Mytilus edulis: one gene and its partner. The protein of the gene in region 2 interacts with the protein of the main gene of each other region in a pairwise test. Links are inferred from orthologs where the notes say so. Each region holds a gene or a part of one and is shown on either strand. Other genes may lie near its edges.

Region 1 (7,955 bases), on a different chromosome or scaffold from region 2:
GTAAGTCTAACTGGTAAAAAGGAGGCAGAAAAATGCCAGAGGAATTTATTAACTCAAAAGCTGTAAACAAATTGACAATGCAATGACAACAAAAAATATAACAGACAGACAAACAGCAGTAAACAAAACACCACAGAAAAAGCACTTAAGATTGAGTTAAACGAGCCCCACAAAAAAACTGACAAAGATGAAGGTCGGTTTGAATCCATAAACAATAGGCGTCTTCTTCAATAATAAACTGTAGTTTTTTGTCTTTGAGTATAGATCAATATCTCTATGTAAGAAATAAGACGATATCTTTTAAATATTTTGAATATTTATAAGACATTTGAACATTGTATTAAACTGTACGTAGATATCAGAAATACAGGAATTATCCTGATATGATTATATAACCAGAATTAGAATTTAGTTCAGTGCTTGCTCTGACGATTTAGATGTCAAGCAGTATTACCCGATTTGGTATAAGAAAGACAACTTTTATTTTTTATTTTCACATATTCATTATATATCCATTCACATGTTAATTTTTATGTATAATGTAACGTCTGTGTTTTAAAGTAAAATGTATTGTCATCGTTGCTTGTGTGTGTGTGTGTGGTTTTTTTTAATATGTGACATAAGTATATATATCCATTATGTAATATGTGTTTGTTGTCTTGATCAGTAGTATCCATCTTGTGGCATATTTCGAATTATTTATTCATTACTCAGTATGATTTTTATCATGACGTGCTTATTGATTAAAGTCACTTTGTTATTAAGACCACTTATGAAGAAAATATGTGTAGAACAAATAAGAGTCAACTGAACTAATCATAACCATATGCCGTTTATGATTTCCGGTTGTTAATACATTGCATTCTAATTTTTGGTGATTATTGTGCGAAGTTTCCAGACGAAACTTAAGAAAGTACTTCTCAACCTAACCATGGCTAGATATATTGCACAAACACTCTCTATAGCCAATTAACCAATAAGTATGAATGTACAGAAATCTAGTATCAATCAATCCAGAACTCCACTCACTTTGACTTAGTCTATGGATGTCTTTTGTCATTTTTTTTTGTGATATAGATACTTCATATATAATTTCTTTCTTGTATCAACTTATTTTTTTACTTAACCCAAGGATTTGTATAGTATACTATACAAATCCTTGCTTAACCGAAGTTTTTGTTCATACCAACCCAATGTGAACTAGAAATATAGGAAAATACCAGAAGTGATATTACTACATGAATTATACAGAAAAAGGGCAATAACTCTAGATGAAATATCGCGCCAATCTGTCAAAAGTTGTCAACCCTTATATAGCTGCTTAGCTGACACTACAGCAGACTACATCGTTTGATCCTAAACTGTATGCACATGATAATAGATGTTTTTTGTAGTATGTACACATTGCTATGCTATAGATTAAGATGACTGAGCCAGATTAAGAGACTAATTAACCAATTTAACCTATGTGCACCACTCTTAAATCCGGCCCTTTTGTCACTTATAGCTTCTCAAGTGTTACTCGGCTTTTAAAAACACTCAACTGTACGAGGGCTGTATAGCCAGTAACGGTCGTTAAAATCTCCCATCATCGTCTTTAAATCTTTGAAGTTTATCCCTACTGATGAATTACATCCAGAGGATTGCTATTTTTATTTTCACCGTAGGGAAAACTATCCGTCAGAGAATATTCATCCCACACTCGATCCCACATTTTTTGTTTTGTTTTGTTAAATGCATTTGTATTGCATTATATTGTTTCAAAACATTTCCCTGAAGTCATTTTGTGAAAGTCATAATAAGTACGAAATCAAACAAGTGTTTAACAAATAAAAAATTATCTTGGTGGAACAAAATTTGTTTTTGTAGATCATACATTTAACATGTACTTGTATTAAAAACCTAAATTTTATCTACAAAAAGTAACGAAGAGAAAGAAAAATAAGAAAAAGTAAACAGTTCCAATGTTTATTATTGAAACTATTAAAACTGTTCATTTAATTGTTTCACGGTCTTTAATAAAAAATGTTGATTTCATCAAAACTCTCAGATTCAAAACTATTAAAATTAATAATTTGATTGGCAGTGTAATAACATTTTGTTTACAAATTTGTCTGATAACACCTTTATCATGCCAATCAAAACTGCATTACCAATGCAATAAAGTTCCAAATAATTACAGTTCAAGTTTGAATTAATTTAAAAGTGGTTATTAAAACTTACTATTATTATTATAGTCAATCCGAAAGTCAGTTCCGGTGGTCAAAAGTCAGGTCCCGTCCGTACTCCAAGAGTTGACAAGGAAAAGGGAGATGTTTTGTAACAAGCCGGCTTGTCTCTCACTGTACACACATTTTCAACATCTAAGCCAAACAGGGTTGGTTTATAAATAGTCTTAGATCAGATTGGTTATCGTAGAAACGTGAGATTCTTCAGAATATATGTACGAAATCACTTCCCAAGATAATGCCAGGAGACTCACAGTGTTCAACTGCGCAGCATCACTTCCATATATGGGACGCGCGTGAAAGCCGATACTAGTGAATGATTGTGTACATGCACGTGTGTCATACTGTTAGTATGATCACAATTAGATAAGAGGCGGGATTGAGGACCAATGACCAACGTCTGGACCAATGATTAGGTAAATTAATCCCTTATTTCCAGAAGTTTCCAGATGGTAGACGGGTAGAGAGCCCTGTGTGATTAATATGTTAGCATAACCACATACATTGTATTTTTGATACATGTAATAATTAATTAACCGATAATACGGATCAACAGAATAACACATGTACATATTCTTAAATATTCGCTTCCTTTGGGATAGTAGATTAGATCACAACACAAACATTTCCTGCTGTATAATGTGCTTTTAATTTTTCAGATTAGGTCGTGTTTTTGAACTTCCAAACAGATGTTAATTCATGCAAATTACCCAGGAGCCATGCATAAATATTTTTTCATATTGACATAGAAAGTTAAAAGATTATTAAAAGATTAACAAAATTATAGAACACAGATATCTTTAAAAATCTCAAATAAAACTAAATAGATAACTTACAAGATGGTTCACCTAGCTTAATATCATAAACAGCCCATATCTTTCTAACATCAGCCAGAAAGAACAAACAGAAGCTTTTTTATACTTTGAATATACCTCAAATGGCAGGAAGACCAACTACTTAACAAATTATGTCATAAATTGGTAGGATTGAAAAGCAAGACATCCGCTAATGTTGTGTGATTTTTCAGTGATATGAAATTGTCTTTAAGTGGACAAAAGTAGCAAGCACTTAACACTACTGGCCGTTTGATAAAATATTTTTTGCAATACTCGGTAGATTTGTCAATGTTTCCTATTCAAAATACTTTATACAACAAACCTCTACTGATAATGGCACGACCTTGAAAGACGAAAAATATTTTTATATTTTTCTAATTTTTCTAATGTCATACCATGTTTTAAACATGTCAAGAATACTCAGTTTTACTGAAATTTGGAACCTATTCAATAGTTTTTACGTTCTAAGCTTTATTAGCTTCGATAATTTTACAAGTGACGACCCTTGGATTTTTTTCATTATAAAAAAAATGTGTGTGTGTGTGTGTGTGTGTGTGTGTTTAATAAGTCCTTCCATTGAGCGAAAAAGAACTGTTTTATAATTTTCTTGCATGTAATACATGCTTCTGCTATCATAAAATAATCCTAGGCTCTACCCCTTGATTAAAAATATCTTGCGCCTTACTGTCTTTGCGCTAACTTTCTACGACAATGGTGCTCTGTGTTTACTTGTTATATTCGTCTACAGAAACGAATAATATATGATTGTTATTAACACCTCTTTCATGCACTGTGGAATTTTTGTTTGTTTGAATAAAGGATAGTCGATTATGAGATCAACAGATCTTACAAAAAATATGCAAATACAATCGTAATGCGTTCTATAGAAGCCGGCCGGTGCTCTCTTGAAATTATTCAAGCATTTTACAAAAAAAAAACTATTTAACCCTCATCATACAGATTGTTTTAGTAATCGTTTATAGTTCTGGTTTTACATAGTGTTTCGTGTACAAGAGTTACATACTAACTAGTTCGAATTGCCCGAAGTACATGTACACTATCGTAGTTTAAAAAAGAATATTTGAACAGAAAAGTTTTGTTACGTCTGATTTACTCGTTATATAGAAAGAATCGGTAGTTTTTTTCAGATATTTGAGCCTCAATTTTTGAATCTCTGTATGTTTCGCACTGTTATGTATGTTTATCAGAGGCGGTCAGAGCCGGATTTAGGGGGGGGGGGGGGGTGAAGACTAACTCATTTATTGGTATATTGCGAAACATGCATGGTCTGTCTATAGAACTATCTACACAATTTGCTCCTTTCGTATGACCTTTTGTCACAAGTGGAATTGCTAGCCAATGTTTTAGTATGACTAAAATTCACTAGCAGGAAAAAAGAACTATACAAATACGATTACCATTACAATCTGAGTTATTTGAATTGATAGAAATCTCTAGAATGAATCTTACGATTCGTCATCATAGAGAGGCATGTTACAAATTGTTGTTCTGCATGTTGTAGACTTGTAATAAAAAAGAAAGTACAATTATAGACGCACAGATTAACTTACGATATAAACTGACCATGCAATATCAAAACATCGGCACGCACATGCAAAGCTATTCAAAAAAGTTACAATAAAACTGGTGAAGTTAATTTTTTTTTAAATTGAGATTATATGAGGATAAATAGATTAGAGGTCTATATTTTAAGCCGATATTTTAATCATCGTTAGATTGGATAAAGCCATCATGCCATCTCGCAACCTCCTGTGGTCAAAGAGCAAGGGCATTGGAATAGTATAACGACGAGTAACCAAAAGCAGATGTATAGTAAACAATAACACAGACACATTAAGAAGGGGTGTGAAGTCTAAATTCACGACTTAAAATATCTATACCCATGTATTGGTAACATTTAAAGAAAAGAACAAGTTAACCCTTCTTTTTAACCGTTCTTCGCCTTAAGGTTACAATGAGACCTTCATTGTAAAGTAAAAGCTCCACAATAGCACCGGTTTTAGTGAGACTCTTCAGTTTGTAAGGTATAACTCACTCTATGTGAACATCTATGCATTGAAAAACACTCTGCCTTGAAAAACAGTCAAAGGAAAGCCGTATACTGGGCAGTGGTAATTTAAGAAATACAATACATTTCAATATATTTTAACTCAGTATGATATATATTTTCAAGGATAGAAGTAAAAACAACTACAGGTCAGAGTTCGAAACTTGAAAATACGCAAAACCAATCTTATAGTTAGCAATAAAAAGCATAGGGATACCAACATGGCAAACACATTAAGAGATTGTATTACTGTCTATATGTAGCACTGGAGATGTTTTACTATCTATACAACACTGACGAGCTGACCATCTATTAAACACAATATTTGAAAGATTGACTGAAAACATGCATACATCTTTTGGTGATGTAAATTATAAGGTTACCTTCAAGACATTTTTAGATAAAATTCCTGTTGTATTAACATGCATGCATGTACAATTGTCAAAAATGAATTCAAATGTATGTGTTAAATATACTGTCGAGGAAGTTGGACTCGAAACATGCAATAAATATAAGGCGTAGTAAGTGGCGGATTAAATCAACCCAAATAGCAAGAGCCTATATCTACTTGGAGTCTACTACTTGGATATCAGTATCATTGATTTGAAATGCTCCGTGAAAACCAACAGGAATAACAGAAGGAATCAAGCTTGCTCTTTATTATTTTATTTCGGTCAAACAATTTTCTGTAATATCCATAGGAAGGCATATGTAGGTTGCGAATATAGATAAGTTCAACGATCTGCAAAACAAAGTCTGCATATTTACAAACACCTAGCATAAGGACATTTTAATCAAAAGGGTTCATTCTTCGGACAACCACGTTATAACCACAACTATTTATAAACAAAACACTTAGTATTATACCAGCTTCCTTTTGTTAAGTATTCTCTTAAATAATACGAGAAAGGTTTCCGTCACCAAACCTATAGTAGTAGATTGGACACAATTTACTCCTCCCTTTTCATCGTAGAATAAGTTTATATATAGATATATACGAGTCTAAATTGAAACTACGTTCAAACCTATGATTGCGTTGGATAAAAACCGCAATTTTTATACGTGTGCATGTAAAACAAATTTCGTTGTAGAAGGGTCTAAAAACAGCACAAACAACATTTTCAAAAAGACAAAAAAAAAGTGAAAAAGTATATTTAAACAAAACGCATTTGACTAACAGGTCGAACAACTGATGTTCTTTAACCCTGCTGTCTGCCATTGGCGATTGCCAAATAAAATTGATCACAAGATGTAACAAATGGATCTTAATATAAATTTAATGCTTTAACAGAAAAAAAATAACTTGTGGCCACGATGTTATGCCGATCCAGATTTCGACAATAAATGTCTCTTCAGTGATGTTAGGGATCGAAACGGTATTTGGAAGGCCATCTAAAAAGTACCCTCATTTTTAGATAGACTCTTGAATTTTAAGAGTCAATATAGGATGAACGGATCATATAAACCGGAGGGAAAATATGATACAAGTCCAAACGAAAAAATATAAACGAGTCTAAATTGAAAACTACGTTCAAACCTATGATTGCGTTGGATAAAAACCGCAATTTTTATACATATATATATATATAGATATACTATATATGATATGTAAGTAGTATATACGGATTCTCTAACACGATTGATATCAAATTTCCATTAATATTATAGGCAAAAATCACTTTAACGATAAGAGCAAGATTGCTCACCCTTCCGGAGCACCGCCGTTTTTTGGTGGGGTTCGTGTCATTCTTTCGTTTTCTATGTTGTGATTTGTGTTCGTTTTTGTCTTTTCTTTGCCATGGCGTTGTCAGGTTTGTTTTCGACTAGTGAGTTTTAATGTCCTTTTGGTATAGCTTTTGCCTGTTTTTCAGCAGGTTGTATATCAAATGAAAAACCTAGGACATTTACCCTGTCACAGTCTTATATAAAGAATAAGTGCGTGCATGCACCATGACTCTGTTATAGCACATGTAATTTTGTTTTCGATTATCCAGTTTGTTTTTGAAGGAAGTTAAAGCAAACATCTATGGTTGTTTATAATTTTTATTAAGTTTACGAATCGTTGGAGTCTTTTTTTTTTTTTTGTTCCAAGTGAATTGTGAGCTTTACACATATATGCTTAAAACACAATATATGAGGGTACAGCATCATAGATGTAATGAAGACAGGTGTTTATATCGATATTGGAATATTTGAAGATAAATTTTGCTTGAGTTGAAGGGTCCTGCTTAAATACCCACTAATAGCCGAGAACCAAGATCATTCTCGGCAAACGAAAGAACGTTTCACTATGCATTTGTTGCAATGACTTCATTTAATATAGCATAAAAGTCACAAAATATAAAAGACATTTGACGAATCTTCTGGTTTCTTCATAAAAACAAATGCAATGCTCATTAAACGCTCAGTTTACTTTACAGTATTACAACGATATTGCTTACAGGTGTGAATATTTGTACATGCCATTCAACCTATAATAAATAACAAGACATCTCCGACAATGATCGAACACTAAGATTGTATTCGGTATTTCCTTTGCAACGATGTACCCATGATAAACAATTAAGTAAGGTTAATTGTATGGAATTGCATTACAAGAAAAGTAAAATGTCATGTTCTAAAAATGTTCCGACAGCATCGTTTATATGTTGTGTTATGCATTCGTTTTACAGGCGTAGGCAAACATATCTCTTCAATAGTAAATAAAGAATATTATGGCAATGTCAAAGAAATATGATTGTTAATCAAAGAATCTGATGTACAGTTCCGAACACTTGATGATTAAGATAAATGGTCGTGTACATTCTAGTGGGGAGGTAGAAA
Region 2 (8,234 bases):
CAGAATACAATTGTTTCATCTGCTAGCGAGTTGGAAAAATAAAAAATAAAAAAATAATGGTTTTCATAAAATTTTAATGTGATTCCCCTTAAAGTTTGCATGAAGCTGTAAAATCAATGGAGATCATTGAAGGCTAAATTGAATTTCAAATGTACTGTCTACCAACTTGCAGTTTTATGTTTTCAAGGGTAAATTTTAATTTTCTTTTCAATAAACTTAAAATGCAGATGCAGATGGTATTAATTGAATTTGTTCTACGATTTATTTAAATCACTGTGCCTTATTTAAAACAGCCATTAAAAGCTAACATGCATGGTTACAGTCCAACTTATTTGTTATGGGTTTAACATGCACTTTATTCTACGATTGTTTTATGAAATGATAGCCTGGTATGCTCTGACTTTGGTATATACAAACCTATAAACATTAACTAATCACAAACAGTGATACTTATAACTATGGATTCATTTATTTTAGTGGATGTGGAAATAATCATGATAATTGAATTTGTGGAACTGCAAATAGTGGGTCTTAAACAAGCTGATTCGGTAAACAACTTAAATTTGTTTGTCACCTCTACCCATGAAATCCTTGAAAATTTAGCACATAATCATGAAACCTCAGTATATAAACAAATGCATTACAAAAGTAAATCACTTTAAAGTATTCAAAAAAGAAGAAAAATATAACCAATTTGGTAATTTGTGTTAATATGCATTACATCATAAAGTAGACATCATCGTTTATGAAATTCAATCACCATTTAATATTCAATAATATTTCAAAGTCTTTTCAAGTACCCTTTATGAAATTCTGAATTAGTTATTGTCCTACAAACATGACTCTTCAGTTTTAAATTTCTATATTCAATGCTTTAAATTTGTCAATTCATTACCCATTATAAGAAATTATATTTCTAAAATAGATCTGACATTATAAAGGCTACTAATTATTGAAAATGTATACAAAATTGACACATAATTTTCTGCAATTACTTGTCAACATATTGTGATTCTCCCTGGTTCTCAATGTATTCCCATACCACTCAAGCTGATTGACGTCCAAATTAACGAAATCACAAATGTCAAACGATTCTCGGATAAAAAACAATGTTTTGCATAAAAAGATTCAACGTCTTGAAAACTTTAAAATTCCCAATAGAGGCAATAAAAATTGTTGTCCTTTGTTTACCATTTGTCCCATACAACAGACGTTAAATCCTGACGACAGACAAGTAATCGGTTGTCGTGATGTGTCCCCTTACAATCAGTGTTCTAATTTTTTTCCAATTTTTCCAAATGGCATCACACCTCTGAAGATTTATTTTGATTTGTGAAGTGAAAAAAAGAGAATTAAACCTATTAGAATGTTAATTCATCTACTTCTGCTCTTCCTACAAAACATCTGTCTGTTTTTTTTAAGATACAGAAAGTTTGGTTGGAATTCTTCTTCAAATCATTTTCCACTTATTCAACCAAAAACATTGTTCAAGAATTGAGTGTTCTGTTCTTTTTTCTCAAGTCCAGTCAAGAATGATTTTTTCCCTTTATTTTCTTTCTTAATAAAAAAAGACACTACACATATACAATCATGGTTTACTTTTATAAATTGTGACTTGGATGGAGAGTTTGTCTCATTGGCACTCATACCACATCTTCCAATATTTATACACAAAAGTTTAAGATACACAGACTTATCTCTTACCCTAAAAATGAAAACTTTATGATGATTGCTCATTTTTATGAGACATTATTGGAGTAATGAAATGTTGATTTTATATAAAACAAATTATAATCACCATCATCTATATATGTTAAAAAAAAAAGACAAAAAAACATGACATAAAAATTTAAAAATCTACAAGCGTTTTTTGAATATTGCTAAAAATATATATATGAAATTTATAAAATGAAAATAACCAACCTGCTTTCAAAAGATTCTCAATAAGTCCTATAATCTATCAAGTAAATTTAAAAGTTAATAAAGCCACTTATACAGGTAAAACTTGTCATTGTTGTCTACAGATAAGTTAACAATGAGTTATATCAGAGATAAAATGATGGTATGTCACCAGCGATCATCCTACCCAAGTCACAATAATACCACAGATTTCCAACCGATTACACACTAAATACAGCTCTCTCTGTCCAGACCAGATTGAGCAGTAAATAGGTCTATAGGATAATGATTATATAAATAACTAGATACAGGTTAATACTACATGTAAACACAGAATCAGACAGTTGTATATAGGGGAGGTGTCTTCACAATCAACCATTTTATCCTGTTAGGCTGAGCTTTTTTGATAGAATATATTGGCTTATTTTGAGAATAGTTCTTACAACCAAATAAAATTTGAACAAGCCTCATTAATCCTAGCCTGGCACATCATGGCTTATTGAAAAAGTTGAGTAGCGGAAATTTGGTATTAGTTGGAGCCATGAAGATGGAGGCACATAACAAAATTAATGTTTGCAAAACCTTTATCAGAAGAAATGAAAAACAAAAAGTCAATGGACAAACAGGGTACCCTTATGTTCATCAGGCGCAGGGTTATTCAGAATCTGATTGATACTAATACCGAATCCTGCACATTTTCACCAAAATTTTATAATTTGTTGAAACTACAGTTTGATCAGAGATACTACAGAGAGAGGTAGTTAACACTTGTATCTATTATACCTTAAAGCTGTAAACTGAACATACATGATATAGTTTATAACTTTACGATATATTATATATGTATCAGACTACTAAGAAGCCGCAAGTCAATATTATCAAAATATGATCTGTTTGTGGTGTACATTTTTGTTTTTCATGTGGAATTTTTTTTTTAAAGAAAAATAAACGATAAAATATTTATGTAATATTTGCCACTGGACTTGAAGCATCGCTTCCTGCATCCTCTGTAAACATTACAACATGAACACTTGGAATATTTTTACAAAGAATGATAAAAAGCCTATCAGGTTTGGACAACAAATTCTGGGGAAAAAATCTTTTTTTTTTACCATTCTTAAAATTATACATTTTACTTGAGCTCAAAATTAAATAAACAAAATATTCACTTACTTAAGAATGTACAGCATAAATACTGAAAGTGCATGTATCAGTTATGATCCTTTGTTTATAAAGTTAGTTTCTTTTTTAAAGCTGTCACACAAAAACCTATAGAGAAATCTGTTTTAAATAAGCCACAAGCTCACAAGGAAACTATTTACCTACAAATTTAAAGTATTTGTACAATAAAAATTCAAACCATTAAATTCTATAATAAGTTTAAATATTTCACTAACTTTTAATTTAACAGGTAAATCCTATTTTACACATCACTGTCCTTATGATATTGACAATATATCTTCCATTTATAACCAATACTTATTGGTCCTATGGTTTATTTATAAATAATACAATATTTATCTAATCTTATGAACAAAGATTTAAGATTTCAATATTTCACCTCAAGTCCTTGGGTGCTTTATGTAACATGTTGTATATATGAATAAATTACAATAAACGTAAAAGTCAACTACCAATTATCACCCGAAGTTTGAGGTCAAAATAAATTCACTCCATCTGTAATATTATCACTCATATCATAACAAGAAAGATGATTGATACCAAAGGAACATTTAAACTCATAAGTCAAGACCACGCAAATTGATGCCAAGGCTGAATACCAAAAGTAAACAAATGAGAAACAGTATACAAAACACAACATTGACAACCACAAAATGAGCAACACAAATTAACAACACTAAAACAGGGTGATTTCAGGTGCTTCATAAGGGTCAGCAGATAAATTAACAACACTAAAACAGGGTGATCTCAGGTGCTCCATAAGGGTCAGCAGATAAATTAACAACACTAAAACAGGGTGATCTCAGGTGCTCCATAAGGGTCAGCAGATAAATTAACAACACTAAAACAGGGTGATCTCAGGTGCTCCATAAGGGTCAGCAAATAAATTAACAACACTAAAACAGGGTGATCTCAGGTGCTCCATAAGGGTCAGCAGATAAATTAACAACACTAAAACAGGGTGATCTCAGGTGCTCCATAAGGGTCAGCACTCAGCAGATTTATTTTTTGCTATTGGGTTGCTTTAAAAACAACACATCTGCAATCTTAATAAAGTTCACATATACAGTAAACTGTCAAATACCTTAAAAACAATATCCGATATGGGGGGTAATATTGAAGTAAATGAATACAAAATTTTATTACAATAAATCAAACATTATAAAACATTATCTATGCTTTTAAATCTTAAAATTCTCAAGGATTTATATTGCAATTATGTACTAAGATCACATAATATACTAAATCTCACTGAAGTTTCCTCTTCAGTATTAAAATTTGAGAATGGAAATGGGAAATGTTTTTAAAGAGACAACAACCCGACAAAAGAGCAGATAACAGCCAAATGCCATCAATGGGTCTTAAATGCAGCTTCTTTTGGTAACTTAAATCCACAAAATTTATAAAAGAGTACAAAATACCCTGATGAAATGCTTTGCAATTTCTGTTTCTTTACCAACAGGAGTAAAAAAGGGAACATGCCAGCATCAGATCATCCCCCAAAAAATAGATCACAATATTCACATGTACCATGCAAATCAGCTATTATATGAGAGAATGAATACCATGGAATAACTCAGCCCTATAAACAGAACACCATTCAATTATAACTCCATATAACCATGATAAATATATGTTATAATGCAGGACAGATGGTTTATGTGTCAGAAATGTCACCGTAACATCGGAGGACAAATATGCACTTTCTCTGAGAGCATGAGATATCACCCACAAAATCCTCTTATACACTAAGTGATCTGTACTTAATTGATTTTTACTGTTTATAAAATATTAACGAATTTTTCCTTCATGTTTTAAAAACAGGTTTTATGACCCACATGAGTAAAGGATTTGTTTGTTGTTGCAGTTATAACATGTTTTACATGAAAATAAAGGTTTAAGGATCTCATTCAATTGTTACTGATACAGAGATTTAAACATAAAACAAGAGTTACATTACTATTCAACGTAAACATGGAACATCCTATTCTTTCAAATTTTAATTCAAATTTGACATTAGGTTGTATTAAAGGTATTACATTGTGTATTTTGTTCAATTACTGATTATACCGCTGCATCGAGCATGATAGGATATTTCTTGTCTCATGACAATTATATTTTCAAATTAAAAATGTGAGGCTTATACTGTATCTTTTAAATATTTAAAATTTAAAAGTCTCGAGAGAAGAAATATCATATTGCATGCGTTACGGTAGTGGAATCTATTACTCTCACGATTTATAAGAACATTGTATAGGCAAACTTTAATTCCATTTTTAATGATTTGCAAAAATATTGAGTTTTTAAACGTGACATAATCAGACATGGTCAATGGAGCAGGAGGGTCTGAGGTTCAATACATTATAATTGATATTCCTCCATGCAAATCAAACTAGATATAAAATATAAATGATGTATCATAAGACATTCAAATGAATCTAATAAAGAAAACTCCACATTTAGTGCTGACAATGCCACCTGGCACCATGTGACATTTGTTCCAGAAGGACAAAAAGTATATAAAATATCTATATCCATCCTATTAATAACTTTTTTAAATCAATAAGATTTCTTCATTTCAATTTCTTATAAATTCAGCATGATTCCAGATTTCAATCTTTATTTTTATTCAAATCAATGCGATTTCCTGTTTGACATCACCCTATGTCCTATCCCACCTACATCATACAATGCTACGATCGACACAACAGTAAATACTATTAAAGCAAAGAAGAAACAGCTTAATTTTCCTATACAATCTAAGATGTATGAAATCAGCTTATACACAAGAAAGCAATCAGCGATATAAAGCTATGTAATAGGGTTATACTATCTCTATACAATGGTCACAAATTACTTTATTTTCTCTGTCAATAGAACTCAGATTTCATGATAAGATTCTTCAACAATGGACTAGATTTCATCAAAATCGATAATTCAACCTTTTTTTATTTCAGTTCTTTCTGCATCAGTCACTCCAGTGAGCTACTTGGCCTTAAAAAAAGTCGTTAGTTTTTTCAATTGAATAGTTTCATTTTTTTTTATCAGGGCCTATTAGAGTATGGGGTTTTTCTCATTTTTGAAGGGGGTAGGTTTCCTATAATTGCTTATATCCACTTCATTGAATGGATACATGTAGGTGTCTCATTCGCAATCATTCCACATCTCCTTATTTTCATTTACCATATTTTCATTCAACAAAGTCAATTGTGACTTCTCCAGTTATATAGCATAGAAGACATAAAACTGGTGAAATTTAGGGCTTTTTAAGGTTAAAATATCAGACTGGTTCAGTTCCATAGAGTATTTTTTTTAGTGGCCTGTCATCGCTGACATCTCTATCCAAAAACCCAGATTTGCATCCTACATCAGGCCCATAGATATATTTGTTTACAGGACTGAACAGGGGGATATAAGAATGACACTAAAGTATCTTTGAACAACCTCAAAAGATTGCCGTGAAGAAACTGACTGCGTGAAGAAACTGACTGCGGGAATTCGTCAATGCATTAATATTGCACATAAAAGGTATAAAGAACAATTAGAAAGAAGAGATTAATAGAGCTTCTGATTTCTGACAGACTGCAAGTTTCCCCTTTATTGATAGTATCACTGCTAGGGAGTATCAAATTGTGGAATATCCGAGACAGAGGTGTTACTGATTATCAAGGGACAAAACCATGTGACAAATATTTAACAGATTACAGAACGGGGTGAGAAATCACACATATGGGCATTACTATCAGTTCATTATATCTCCCTAGTAAATCTGATAGTCCTTTTGGGTTTCCACTAATTTCCAATGGATTGAATACCATTCCTGTTCTATCAATCCCAGATATCAATGTCCTGAACCAATAAATCACCGGTCAGTATCTAACTGCCCATCTGTTGCTACAGAGCCATTGTCCACTAGTTTTATTACTCAGATCATGAACTTTACATTACTATGGATTAATTCTCTATAAATCAGAAATCCCCTTGAACTATCAATTTATAGCTCAAATTAAAATCTAATTTCCACATTATCAAATTCAAACAATTACAATTAGAGCTATTTTTACAAAGTTTTGAGTGACTGGGTATATCTCTTAGCCACAAGCTTGTTCAAGGTCTTTTGTGGGTTTTATTATATCAAACATAACAAAAGCAATTCAAGCATGTGACAGATGTTATGAACAATAAATTTCATCTTCAAAATTAAAATAATTGTGTAAAAATCGATAAAACGATTTATATCCTGCATTTTATGTGTAATCTTAAAATCAGTGAAAAACAGATGTCAAATATAACAATACAAAAGTCGGTGTGCTACTGCATCAGATAATCATATTAATTATCTAAATGGTCTACAACATACTGCATTGTCAATAGTGGGTATAAAAAATGTCAAATATATGACTTTTATTCTGCCACATAACTATTTCTTTTTGTAAATGCTTAGAAACAAAACAGACAGGCCTTCATATAAACAATACTCAAGTAGCTCTGTACCATATAAGAATATTTAGCTTAATCAAATTGATAAATACAATCAATGAAAAAGTTCTTCCTTACAACACAACAACACACTTTAATTTGATTTATTATCTTTAATACCCCTGCATGGGAAATGCTAGAGAAAGTTCCTAGAAACTTTCACTCTAATTTACACCCCTGTTTTCGACTGTTATTCCCTAGAGGTAACTTTCACTCAATACCTCTCAGTGTGGATGCAGGGGTTGGAACCCCCCCTTTTTTTGGACGATAAATGCATTTGAATTGGGATAGGTAAAGAAGGGAGGGGGAGATCTCATAAACATGTTTAACCTGCTGCAATTTTGCACCTGTCCCATGTCAGGAGCTTCTGGCCTTTGTTATTCTTGTATAATTTTTAATTTTAGTTTCTTGTGTATAATTCAGAGTTTAGTATGACGTCCATTTTCACTGAACTAGTATACATATTTTTTAAGGGTCCAGCTGAAGGATGTCTTCAGGTGCAGGAGTTTCTTGCTATATTGAAGACCCATTGGTGGCCTTGGGCTGTTGTCTGGTCTATGGTCCAGTTATTGTTGCTTTGACACATTCGATCCCCATTTCCTTTCTCAATTTTATATAGGGTTGGAACCACCCTTTTAAAATTTGCTGGATCCATCCCTGTTGTTGGACTGTAA

Evidence for each region.
Region 1: the proteins of teneurin-m-like (region 2) and filamin-A-like interact in binary tests that used the Drosophila melanogaster proteins (3 or more experiments, as listed by UniProt). The link is inferred for Mytilus edulis from reciprocal best matches to the Drosophila melanogaster genes Ten-m and cher.

The regions. Positions count from the first base shown.
Region 1 is NC_092344.1:98,892,276-98,900,230, forward strand, and holds the start of filamin-A-like, read right to left. Parts: upstream 3,165-7,955; 5' UTR 3,065-3,164; intron 2,916-3,064; exon of another isoform or gene 2,224-2,915; intron 1-2,223. UniProt on the Drosophila melanogaster protein: Involved in the germline ring canal formation. May tether actin microfilament within the ovarian ring canal to the cell membrane. Contributes to actin microfilaments organization.
Region 2 is NC_092351.1:10,849,424-10,857,657, forward strand, and holds the start of teneurin-m-like, read right to left. Parts: upstream 3,145-8,234; 5' UTR 3,073-3,144; intron 2,094-3,072; exon of another isoform or gene 1,924-2,093; intron 1-1,923. UniProt on the Drosophila melanogaster protein: Involved in neural development, regulating the establishment of proper connectivity within the nervous system. Acts as a homophilic and heterophilic synaptic cell adhesion molecule that drives synapse assembly.